Drosophila melanogaster: one gene and its partners. The protein of the gene in region 3 interacts with the protein of the main gene of each other region in a pairwise test. Each region holds a gene or a part of one and is shown on either strand. Other genes may lie near its edges. The genes, in order: Ptp4E, CG6118 and CG6912.

Evidence for each region.
Region 1: the proteins of CG6912 (region 3) and Ptp4E interact in a two-hybrid assay, tested with the Drosophila melanogaster proteins (one large-scale study listed by BioGRID).
Region 2: the proteins of CG6912 (region 3) and CG6118 interact in a two-hybrid assay, tested with the Drosophila melanogaster proteins (one large-scale study listed by BioGRID).

What each region holds. Positions count from the first base shown.
Region 1 is NC_004354.4:4,937,110-4,940,865, reverse strand, and holds the start of Ptp4E (protein tyrosine phosphatase 4E), read right to left. Parts: upstream 1,739-3,756; 5' UTR 1,666-1,738; exon of another isoform or gene 1,562-1,665; intron 1,430-1,561; exon of another isoform or gene 1,334-1,429; intron 1,286-1,333; exon of another isoform or gene 1,191-1,285; intron 445-1,190; 5' UTR 220-444; coding exon 19-219; intron 1-18.
Region 2 is NT_033777.3:15,433,073-15,436,828, forward strand, and holds the start of CG6118 (uncharacterized protein), read right to left. Parts: upstream 1,667-3,756; 5' UTR 1,113-1,666; coding exon 1,046-1,112; intron 1-1,045.
Region 3 is NT_033777.3:15,135,356-15,139,111, reverse strand, and holds the start of CG6912 (uncharacterized protein), read left to right. Parts: upstream 1-2,107; 5' UTR 2,108-2,186; coding exon 2,187-2,270; intron 2,271-2,332; coding exon 2,333-2,402; intron 2,403-2,580; coding exon 2,581-2,640; intron 2,641-2,719; coding exon 2,720-3,613; intron 3,614-3,733; coding exon 3,734-3,756. Other genes in the region: CG3984 (uncharacterized protein), read right to left, coding at 208-377, 447-1,778, 1,839-1,950.

The DNA of each region.
Region 1 (3,756 bases), on a different chromosome or scaffold from region 3:
TTTTTTTTTCTCACTCACCTGAGCCAAAAAAATTGTCAAAATGCCAACAACAAGCCACACGAAATGTTTTTGTTGTTGTTGTGAATTTTGGTAGTAGTGGTGGTGGTTGTGGCGTTGTTTTTGTAATTGCTGCCGCTTTCGTCCATGTGTTTGTATTTGTATTTGTTGCTGCTGATGATGTGCCCGTAATTGTTGTTGTTTTCGCGTGGCACAGTCCATTTTCAAGTACAGTAAAACCCAATGATGGTCGAAGGTTTCGCAGATTGCTGGTTTTACTTTTCAAGCGGGGATGGGCGGTGTTTTGCGCTTATTGTTTTACACATGTATGTACGTTTGTATTGCATATACATTTCTGTTGGCCGTTACATGGTCATTTGTTTGTATTGCACACGCATATTACGTTTCCTCTATTACTTAATTAATATTGCACTTGTATTGCACTCTCTGTAACGGGAAACGGGAGAGCAATGATGAGCGCGATCGAGAGCGAGAGCGGCAGATGTGGGCCCATTGTAATTGTTGTTTTCTAATACGATTTCCATTAACAATCGCCGGCTAATGCACGAAAAATGATTTATGTCCAAGCGAATTTGTAACGGCACATGCGTGCGGGAGAAGAAGAAGCAGAAGCGAAAGCTGCAGGTGAAGAGCAACACTGATCGTGGAGGGGGAAGCGGCTGGCTATGGAAATGTGAGCCACGCACAAGTACAAGTGCGTGTGCATGAGCGCTGCAAGTGTGTGATTTGATGCAGACACACATGCATACATAATCACACTCACACGCATTTGTGGCTGTAACGGCGCTTCACTACAAGTACAGTGGGCCCTCCCTGCTATTGAACACGCGAGCATGTAAATCTAACGAGATTTAGAAGTTAATATATGAAATGTAAATTCAATGCAAACATATAACGAATTTGGTTAATATGCCCGACAAAGTTTCGATTAGCGAGTCTTCACTGTGGCATTACAGTTTGCTACCGTTGTTATTGTTGCTGCATTACGAAATATCCAGCAATTAACAGACAATTGTTGTTGCCGCCGCTTTTTGCACTTCATATTTGCACTACCACTAGCTGAGCAGGTGTGTGTGTAGGTGTATGTGTAAATTACAGGTACTAGGGTAATATAAATTACAATAGTAGGCGGTTAATGGTGATTGCATTAAATGCTAATTGCACGCATTTACTTTTACTCCACCCTTGCTCTCCCACTCGCTCTCTCTGCCACACACACACTCGGACACACTGATGCAATGACTAAATGCGGCGGCGCAACGGCGTCGACGTTGGCAGCGACGGCATGGACGAAAAAAAAACTAATTCACTTGACTGTTGCTCTTTTTCTTCTGCTTCCTCTCCTCTCCACCCTCTTCATCCGCTTCTTCTTGTTTTCGTTGCACACCAATTTAAAACAAACTAGTCACGTTTCGTTTTAAGCGGAAAACATAAAAACAGAATATAAACTTCTGGCGCGTCGGCGCATTTGTTTAAAAAAAAAGAAGTCACAAACAAAAAATTTAGGCTTTAGTAACCGTTATTATGCAGAAAATAAACTGACACTTTTATTGACCGACAACTTGTTACTGACAAGAAAAAAAATAAGAAAAATTGGTTGCGAAAAGGAATCGGCCACGACAAATTGAAGCGAATGACTGCACGCACTTTTCACCACTGTTCATCAATGAATTTCCACATTTTCTGCCTTTTTGGACGACCGTCGCTTAACGAATGAATATAAATACAATACAAAGGCGTGACCGCCGCGCAGTGCTGCCGAAAAACAGAAAAAAAAACCCAAAAATACTGAATAAATACCACATATTTTACACAACACAGGGTCACTCATAATTTATTTAAAATTGTTAAATTTCTTAAAGAATATATTGTTAATATTATATGACATGTTTTGCTCATGTTTGACCAAATTTGATGTTTCGTTGATTCGGAAAGCGAAATTTAATTCATGCAGTTGATATTCAACAAGTATTCGTGCAGTCACACTTTGCAATTTCAAAAATTGCAATTTGGTAATTATTTCCAATGGTATTATTATAACTTTGTCATTTTTATTACTAGTCTTCTAATAGAAAATACAATTTATTTTATATATTGATATATTTAGTAAATAAAATAATATTTTGAGCACTTGTTAAAAATGTATCCATGTTTTCATAATAAACAGAACACACCAACTCAAACAAATTTGAAAATATCTAAAATTCGTTTATATTTGCAGAGAAGGAAATACCAGGTAATAAGTGAATTAAACTGTTTTTACTGAACTTTTTACAAAAATTTTATAATTATTTTTTTATTTTTTTTTAGATATGCAATATGAAAATTATATCAAGCAAGCTTAAGAAAGTTATATGAGCACCGGCACTCAAGGCTCACAGCTCGTAGAGTAAGTAGCTATCTTATGGTATTATTATATACAGGTTCATTTTTATTTGGTTTTAAAATACATATATCTCTGTATATATAACAAGTTTTTTTTCGTAGAACCTCAGAATAATCTCGAAGTGGTTTTGTGTGGGGTTAGCTAAGACGTTTTGAGACCAAAAAATTTATTAAATTATATATCAACAAAATTTAAATTAAACGTATTCGTAAATTAAATAAAATGTAAAACAGGAGTATGACCAGCTAGCTGTATTCAGTATTTTTGTTAAATTTAATATATTTCTTTAATTCTGTTAGGTAGCTGTAGCGTTAACAGCACTAATCGATAAATTGCCGAAGCTGTTAGGAGCTAACATACAGTCACTAGCAGAACGTCAAGTTGATGTCAGTAGCAATCAAAAGTGAAAAGGAAGCGAAAAAGTGCATTTTAAACTGAAAATAAAGTGTGATAAATAACAGTTGTAAAATCGAGCGGCTCAACCAAGGTAAAGATTGCAAGTACTATTTGATTGTCACAACATATCATATATGTTAAATATGTAACATATTTAAGGAGCAACACAAGCAACATACAACTGTGGTGAATGTATCTGTGTAAATATTGCCTTGGTGTGCGTGCAGTCGGCTTCATTTTGTTTTGCTGTTGACCTTCGCAGATCGAAAATGAGTTTAAATCGAATTCGTAAAAAAAAAGCCGCTTGAACTCTTCCAATGTCAAAAGCAGCGTTCAGAAACTGCGGCAATTGTGCGAAAAACACCAGAAAATAACGCCATCAATAAGTAGCACACAATACATGCAAATGTGTTTTTTTTTCTTGTGTCTTTTGCGCGCGCTTTCTCTGCAAATGTATTACTTAACAGTCGCTCTCTACGTCCCCATATCTCTCTCTCTCTCTTTCTCGCTCTAGAAATATAAACTAAACATTTTCTGCCTTTTTACTTTCTTTTTCCGGCTTTTTCTTGTTTTTGCCTGGCTATTACGGCTCATCTGTGTGTGTGTGTGTGTATGTGTATGCAGATACCGTTATGAGAGCGAAACCTGTTTCACATTCTTATGAGAATTCCAATCAAAGTCTTTCACTTTCCGTAGCTTGTTAGGCGCAAATGAAAACAAGGTCAGCCGCTGTTAAATACGCATGTTTTTATACAATATCTATCCTCGCGTTTCCTCTGTTTTCACGCTCAATTTCGCTCGTTGTTGTTTTGCAAGTCGAAGAAGAGGAAGCGGCAGGCGTCGCTTGCACGCACACAAGCACACTCCCTTAAAATTCCATTTGCGGCGTGCATTTTTTTTTTGTGATTGCAATAACAACAACGAGCAGCGACCTAGTTTATTCCGGGGCCTTTTAT
Region 2 (3,756 bases), 300 kb from region 3:
GAAAGTGGGTCAGCTTATGACAGGACTCGAAGCCGACGAACAACATTCACCCACAGAGAAAGAAAATCTAATACGATATACGTATGTTCAAATAATATGTGACAAGTATCAAAATGTTTGTAATGTATGTAAAGGCTTTAAGTAAAAAAAAATGTATATATATATATATATATATAAGTATCTTTAAAATTTTAGAAGACAGTAAGGTTTTCTTTCAGAGATTCGCCTGAGAAACCAACATTACTGGCAACGAGGAGAAATTACTGAATGTCTGAAAGGAAACATAAATTCTGTACCCGAAAAGGGATCTTTCTTTCTTTTATTATTCATTGTGGCTGTAGAAGTGGCAGCGACGTCGGCAGTGGCAGCGACGGCTACTGCGACGGCGAAAGAAAAACGAAGAAACGAAGCAACAACTTTCACCTATTAATATTCGTGTCGTAGCAGCGGCAGAAGCGAGCTGCCAAAGCCAAAGCTAAAGCTGTAGCTAAAGCCAGGCCAAAAGACCGAGACCGAGGCAGAAGCAGAGTCAGAGTCAGAGATACAGATACATTGCCAGCCAAAGATACAGATACTGCAGAAGCAGAAGCAACAAAACAACTAGTCACTGCCGATGCTCAACGACGGCAACACATCGCATATAGCATCGCATGTAGCATGTAGCTCGAAACTCCCAACTTCAAGCTTCAAGCTCCAAACTGGCTGCAACTCCAGCCAGTTGGGTCCCCTTGCTGGGGAAACTTTCTATAAAAAAAGCAGCTTTTGCTTTTTGTTTTGAAAATTTCTTTCTGGCTGCGCAGGTTGCCCGAGTGCACGGTTTGGTTCGAACGTTTGTTTGTTTGTTGCTTTCGCTTGGCATTCTGCACTCCAATGGGGCACATCCAGACTCGAACGGATCCGAAACGCCTTTTGCGTTTGTTACTTTTCTTATTGGTAAAACTAGCTTAGAATATTTGGATTTATAGTTATTCCCTACTAAACCCAAAGTATCTAGTAGTTAGTAACTACTGCTTGTTAGTAGCTAGCCAAGTTCAAGGCAACTTACAACAATATCTGGTCGAGTATTGACAATTCGCATTGACTGTGGGTGTCATAATCTCGTTGGCAGCCATATCCAAATCCAATTGTTTGATGATAATAGTGCTGTGTGCTAGGTGTACTCCAATCCCGATTGGTATCCTTGAGCTGTTCGGGAACTTTCCGTAATCCAATGGGCGCACACAAAATATATGTTTTTTTCTTTGATAGTTTCTCTTCTCGAAGCTTATTTGGTTGGCTGGCGGTGGCCGGTTTTCATTGTAGCATATCAATATTTGTCATTCAAGTGGCACTCACGCACCGAAACACCGAAAAATCACTTTCACTTTTGCGTTTTGATATGCAGAGAACACAAGGCAGTTAATAAATACGGATGCGTGGTCTTCGAAATCCGGAGAGAGGGGAGTGAAATTCAAGATCGCAAAACCACAGAGTCAAAAGAGGATAACATTTTGATTACACTTGGGCAGCATGATGCTGTTGCTATTCCACACTTTTCATATGATCTTGTTTTCTTTTCGAGTATTTTTCTTATATGATTTTCTTGCTATGAAGTTTCTGCGCAGGCGCGACTTTCTACGAGCTGGTCTGGCGATTCTTGCGCGCCGAACGGTGGAACGTAACGTCTGCCTCGAAACGCGGTAGACGTCTGTGCGGCAGCGCGCAGTGAAACCAGCGCTTATCCTCAAAGATCGCTAAGAAATTTCATGCCATTCCATTTCGTTTCTCAGCGGCAGCGACGCTTTCGCTTGCCGCACTCACACACCTGCAAGGTGGAAGCTCTGCCGTTGGTTCTTCGGCTCAAGAGTGCTTTTACCATTTCTTTCTCTCGCGCATACATGCACGTTCGAGCGCACTCACACACACACGGGCCATAGCAAGTTTGGTTCTTCGTTGAAGTCTTTTGTTTTGGTCCGCCGTTTGTGTTTGCCATGTGCTCTGAGTAAGAGTTTCGCCTTGGGAGCTCACTCTCGCACACCAAAGCCGAAATGGTTAATTATTTACAGCTTACCATCGTTTCGATTCCAGTGCGTTCCCCAGCTGCTTTTATAACTTTAACTTTCATCGCTGCCTTCTTAGACCAGCTTTTCCCACTTCCTCCACCCCACCCCCTGCTCGTGTTTGCCAAGCGCTGAAAATTACAACTTTCGTCTATTTTTGTCAAGATTTTTTTTATAATTATATAATTTAAGCGTTTTTTCTTCTTCTTGTCGCACATTTTTGGCCCCCGTTTCGCTGGCAATCTGATTCCGTTCGCTTTTCCATTGTTGCTGCCGTTTTTACTTTTCTTTGCATAAACCGCACGGCTAATTACGCACAAGGAGAGTGAAACTCCATTAGATTCTTAATTATACTTTAATTGCCAACGGATAGATAATGTGGAGAGCAGCACCCAGCGAGCCGGGCAGAAATCAACTTGAATCGCCTCACCAGTGGGTTGCAGTTGCAGTGAGTTGCATTTGGAAATCTTTCACCGCTGCATTTCTCATTGTTGCTGGCGGTACTAGTACTGGTACTGGTACTGGTACTGGTACTGGTACTGGGACTGGGTCTGGTGCTCGTACTGCTCTTTCTACTGGTCTACCCATGCGCAGTTAGCGTTGCAAAGCTCTGTCTTCAGCAGGCTCCATTTGGAGTGGTCTTGCTGGGGCTCTTGGGTGCTTTTCGGGGAGCCGGGGCTCTCTGCACTTACAGTTGTTTCTTTTGTCTTACACTCGGATGCGCGATGCTGCCCTGCTGGTTGTAGTTGTAGAAAACTTTCTAATGTAGAAGATGTCTGCATTAGACACTTCCCCTGGCCATTGTACTTGGATTGAATTGCCCCGCTGCCGCCGTGGGGCACAGTGGTAGGCCTCTATTTACTCGGCATTTGTCAGCTTTTTATTTCTTTCGAGATTTTCCCAAGCTTGATAAATTGTCGGCGAGAATTTCAATGTTGTAAAGTTGTATAGGCAGTATTCTAAGCTTGTGAGTTCACACCGTTGCCGATTGATCGATTCTTTTAACATATTTTACTCAGCTGGGTGAAAGTTTGTGTGATAAAGCCACCGACTGTTACATATAGAGATGTAAATCATCTTTCCATTGCGGATACATCGAGTATACCGTATCCACATCCACTTCAAGTAGGGATGCAGAACCTGTCGAAGATCCATTTAGTCATCCAGTGCTCAATCTTGTGTCGCATGACCACGACTTTCGACCAACTAATAGGCCCGAATTTGTATTTACATGCTAATGAGCAACGGAATATTTTGTTTCTACTGAAAACGAAAACGCATTTTATTGCCAAACGATGATCTTTGTCAATAGGAGAGCTAATAGATTTAATTGGACGGCTGGTTCGTTATATAAATCTCGACCGGGCCAGAACTGCTGGGGGAAAAAGAAACGAGCTAAGATGTATCGCGGCTAAATGATTAATGCAGCTAAGAGTCGAGACCCCAAAAGCCAAAATCGTATTTTCACTTTTTAATAATTAACATAAAATTATTAAGAAGACGGCGAAGAAGCTGTGCAGAGGGCGAGGCAGAACGAGCGAAGATGCCGAAAACGATGCCAAACGCATTAAGCGCCCAGCCACAAAGACAAGGCAAGGTAAAGAATAAGCCAAGAAAGTTGTAAAATCCGAGCAGGAAAAGAGATTTCCGAATTTCATAAAGTCTCGCAAAGAACCAGAGCCAGCTGCCGTATGACTAACAAACCAAAAATATAAGC
Region 3 (3,756 bases):
CTATGACGACAAAACTATTACTGAAAAAGTTTAAGGTTGAACGGAATTGTGAGAGGCTTTAACTATCAAAAAGGCTCTCAAGTATTATAAAAAAGATTATTATAATTTGTTTTTCTTTATTAATTGCTTTATTTTTTTTATTGTTTTTTGAGTGGTATTGATTGCATAATGATAAGCACGTTTTCAATAATTTGCGCTTGGCGAGTGTTAATCCATCCATCCATCTTCCGCACGGCATCCGGTTTGACCTGCATATTGGGAGCAGTATTGGGCCTGGTCGTAATATACGCAGTTGTGGGTGCTGCATTTGTAGGAGTAGCAGTACGAGGAGCAGGTCGAAAGGTTACCCATAGCACAGCCACTGCAGTCGTAGAAGTCTAAAGTGGACAAAAAACGATGAAATTGGACTTTACTTTGCATGTAACAACTATCTTTACTGAACTCACTCTGGGGCTGCTGGCAAATCCCATTATTGGACTGACAGGCCTGACCCGCCCAGTTGGGAGGGATGGTCACCATCTGGCTGTTGGACTGAGTCCAGCTGGCTACTGCGGCCGGAGCGAGCATCACCTTCCTGGCACTGCAGACGGAACCGCACTGATGATGACTCCTGCTGAAGCACTTGTATCCGTCTTGACCCGCCTGGGTGGCGCAGACCCGCGGAGCGAATACGTTGCAGCAGGGGCTTGAGGGTGACTGTGGTGGCGCCACCACTTCCACCAGCTCCTCTTCCTCTTCGGAGGCTTGTTCTGGGATTGTGATGGAGGCGTTTACCATGACGTGGTTAACATTGTTGGTGATCAGGTGGGGCAGAGCTCCTGGGAGCTGGTGGACAGTGTTCTCTATGTGGATGTTACCGAGCTCCAATGGCTGAGGCTTCGAGCACCGGATACCCGTCCAAACATATCCAGCAGGACAGCGGGTCTGAATGCAGCGTCCTTCGATGTACAAGCTATTTTCCCCGCAGAAAAGTAGACGGCAAACACCTTTCACCAAAATTGTTCCCTCCGGACACCGGATAATGGGATCCGGTGGCGGCGTAGTGACTGGGACTGGGATCGGTCGAGGTGGTGGTGTTGGATTTGCTGGAGGTGCAGGCGCTGGTTGCTCAGTAACACTTGGGGGAGTGGTAGTTGGTGGAGAAGTTGGGGAAGGAGCATTGATACTAGGACCGTTCGTGGGATACGAAGATGGGCCGTTCGAATTACAGGAACTCGGACCATTGGCATTGGGACAAGCTGGAGTTGTTGGTGTATTGGGACAAAGTGGCTTATCTGGAACCACTGTAGGATATTGAGGAGTGTTGGGGCAACCGGGAGTAGCAGGAACAACATTTACATTGGGATTAAATGTATTATTCGGAACCACTGTAGGATATTGAGGAGTGTTGGGACAACCGGGAGTACTAGGAACAACATTTACATTGGGATTAAATGTATTATTCGGAACCACTGTAGGATATTGAGGAGTGTTGGGGCAACCGGGAGTAGCAGGAACAACATTTACATTGGGATTAAATGTATTATTCGGAACCACTGTAGGATATTGAGGAGTGTTGGGGCAACCGGGAGTACCAGGAACAACATTTACATTGGGATTAAATGGATTATTCGGAACCACTGTAGGATATTGAGGAGTGTTAGGGCAACCGGGGGTACCAGGAACAACAGTAGTCACAGGATTGGAAGGATTGCATTGAATCCCCGTTTGACCTCCGCACAGGTTACTATACATATTCAAAATAATGGGGCTGCAAACGATATAAGCATTAACCTGACCTAAGATGTGAATGATGTCATCAGTGGACTGACGGATAAACGCTTCCAAGTCGAACTTACCATTTTGGCAGGGATTTGGTGTATAATTGGTGATAACCGTCGCGGGAAATAGTCCAAGACAGATTAACAGCAGCAGCCGTTGCACACGGAAACCCACTTCACTGTCAGACATTTCGATTCGAACTGATCCCGGCTCACCGGTGACGGATTAGGAACGGCTGAAGCTGCAGCCCAAGCGACCTTCACCGTTATCTGGAACACGAAGGTTATCGCAGCGCCAGCAATTATGCTTTCCAAAGGCATCCCAGCGAGCTCAGCGTCGCTTCGATTAGTCTCTCGCCTAGTGCGGACCGCCGTACATCGCGAATCTGTGTCTCAGCTCCCGGATCAGCAAGCAAGTTAAACAGTATGCTTGTGAAGTCATTCAGATCGGCCCTGGTTGCCTGCCTGATCACCCTTGTGCCTTGCGGAAGTGCTCAAGCATACATCGCGGTAACCGAATGTGGTTTACTCTGAGGATTGGTGTCTATTCTTATACAAATATATTCCCCTAGAAGCCGACATCTCCGCAGGGATATCAGGATGTCAACGGCGTGTGGCAAAGCTCTTTCGTTTGTCAAACAGGTAAGAAATCTCTGAAAAAATGGTTAATCTCGCTGTACCAAAAATGGTGCCCAATTTAATCAGCAGCTGTGTATGACTATTTATAGAACTACTCAATGCTTTAACTGATAATTTTAAAAAAGTATATGAAAAACCAATGTATTATTATTATATTATTTTTGGTTTTATCGTTCATTAGGATATCAATTGAAAGCGGATGGAAAATGTTATCCACAGACTAACAAAACGTGCGGGCCTGGTAACTTAGTAAAAAACTTATAAATCTTTAATTCGTGAGATTTTTTGTTGTTTTTTTTTTTCGTTGTCATTTTGTTTAGGATACTTTCTTAGCATTGATGAACTATGCTATCGTACGAATCCTGAGCCTTGCCCGCTTGAATCGACGACCACTACTACTACGACAACAACAACAACAACAACAGAGCCCACTACCACAACAACAACGGCAGAGCCCACTACCACAACAACAACAACAGAGCCCACTACCACAACAACAACAACAGAGCCCACTACCACAACAACAACAACAGAGCCCACTACCACAACAACAACAACAACAACTGCGCCTCCCGTCATTACAGAACTGACTCGCTGTCCACCGGGATCGATTTACTTCGACTCGCAGTGCAGGAAAATCGTCTGTTCGGAGGGTGAATATAAGGCTGGCCGTTGCATTTCATTGGCATGCCCAGCGGGAACCGTGTGGTATCAAAAACGCTGCCAACAACCGGGATTTATCACCACTATCCTTGAGATTGACAATGTGATCCACAATGAGCACAAGTACTCGGTGACCAGCGAAAATATAAATCGTGTGGAGTACATTACATCCGCACCCTATGATCCCGATAACGACAAGAGCTATGACTATACTATAGATAACATCGTAGCCACAACAACAACCAGACGTCCCTGGATATACCCCAGTTTGAGGCCATCTACGGAACAGTCGGCGGCTAATGAAGTCTTTCCGGGGCGTCATCCTCCACCGCAATGCTGTTTTGTAAAGAGCCCTCGCATCTGCATCAACTATGCGCCCAACTGGGTGTGCTCCAACAAGGAGAATAAGTTCTGCGATTCCAGAGTCTGCACGGCCCCGGTGGTATATCTCAAGCCACCGAAGGTCGTATATGACGAAAACGCGAAACGAGTGGTCATGCCGCCAAATCCTCCACTTCTGGCGTGCAGCACGCCGGATTGCAAGGAGAGCGGTGAGTCTTCAAATCGTTTCTTTTATTATTTACATTGAGTATCTGCTTAACGAACTTATCGAAGAGATAAGGATAAAAAATGTATTTCAGGATCATTAATACAATCTTGTGTTTCCACAGACATTTTGGATTGCTCCGGCTGC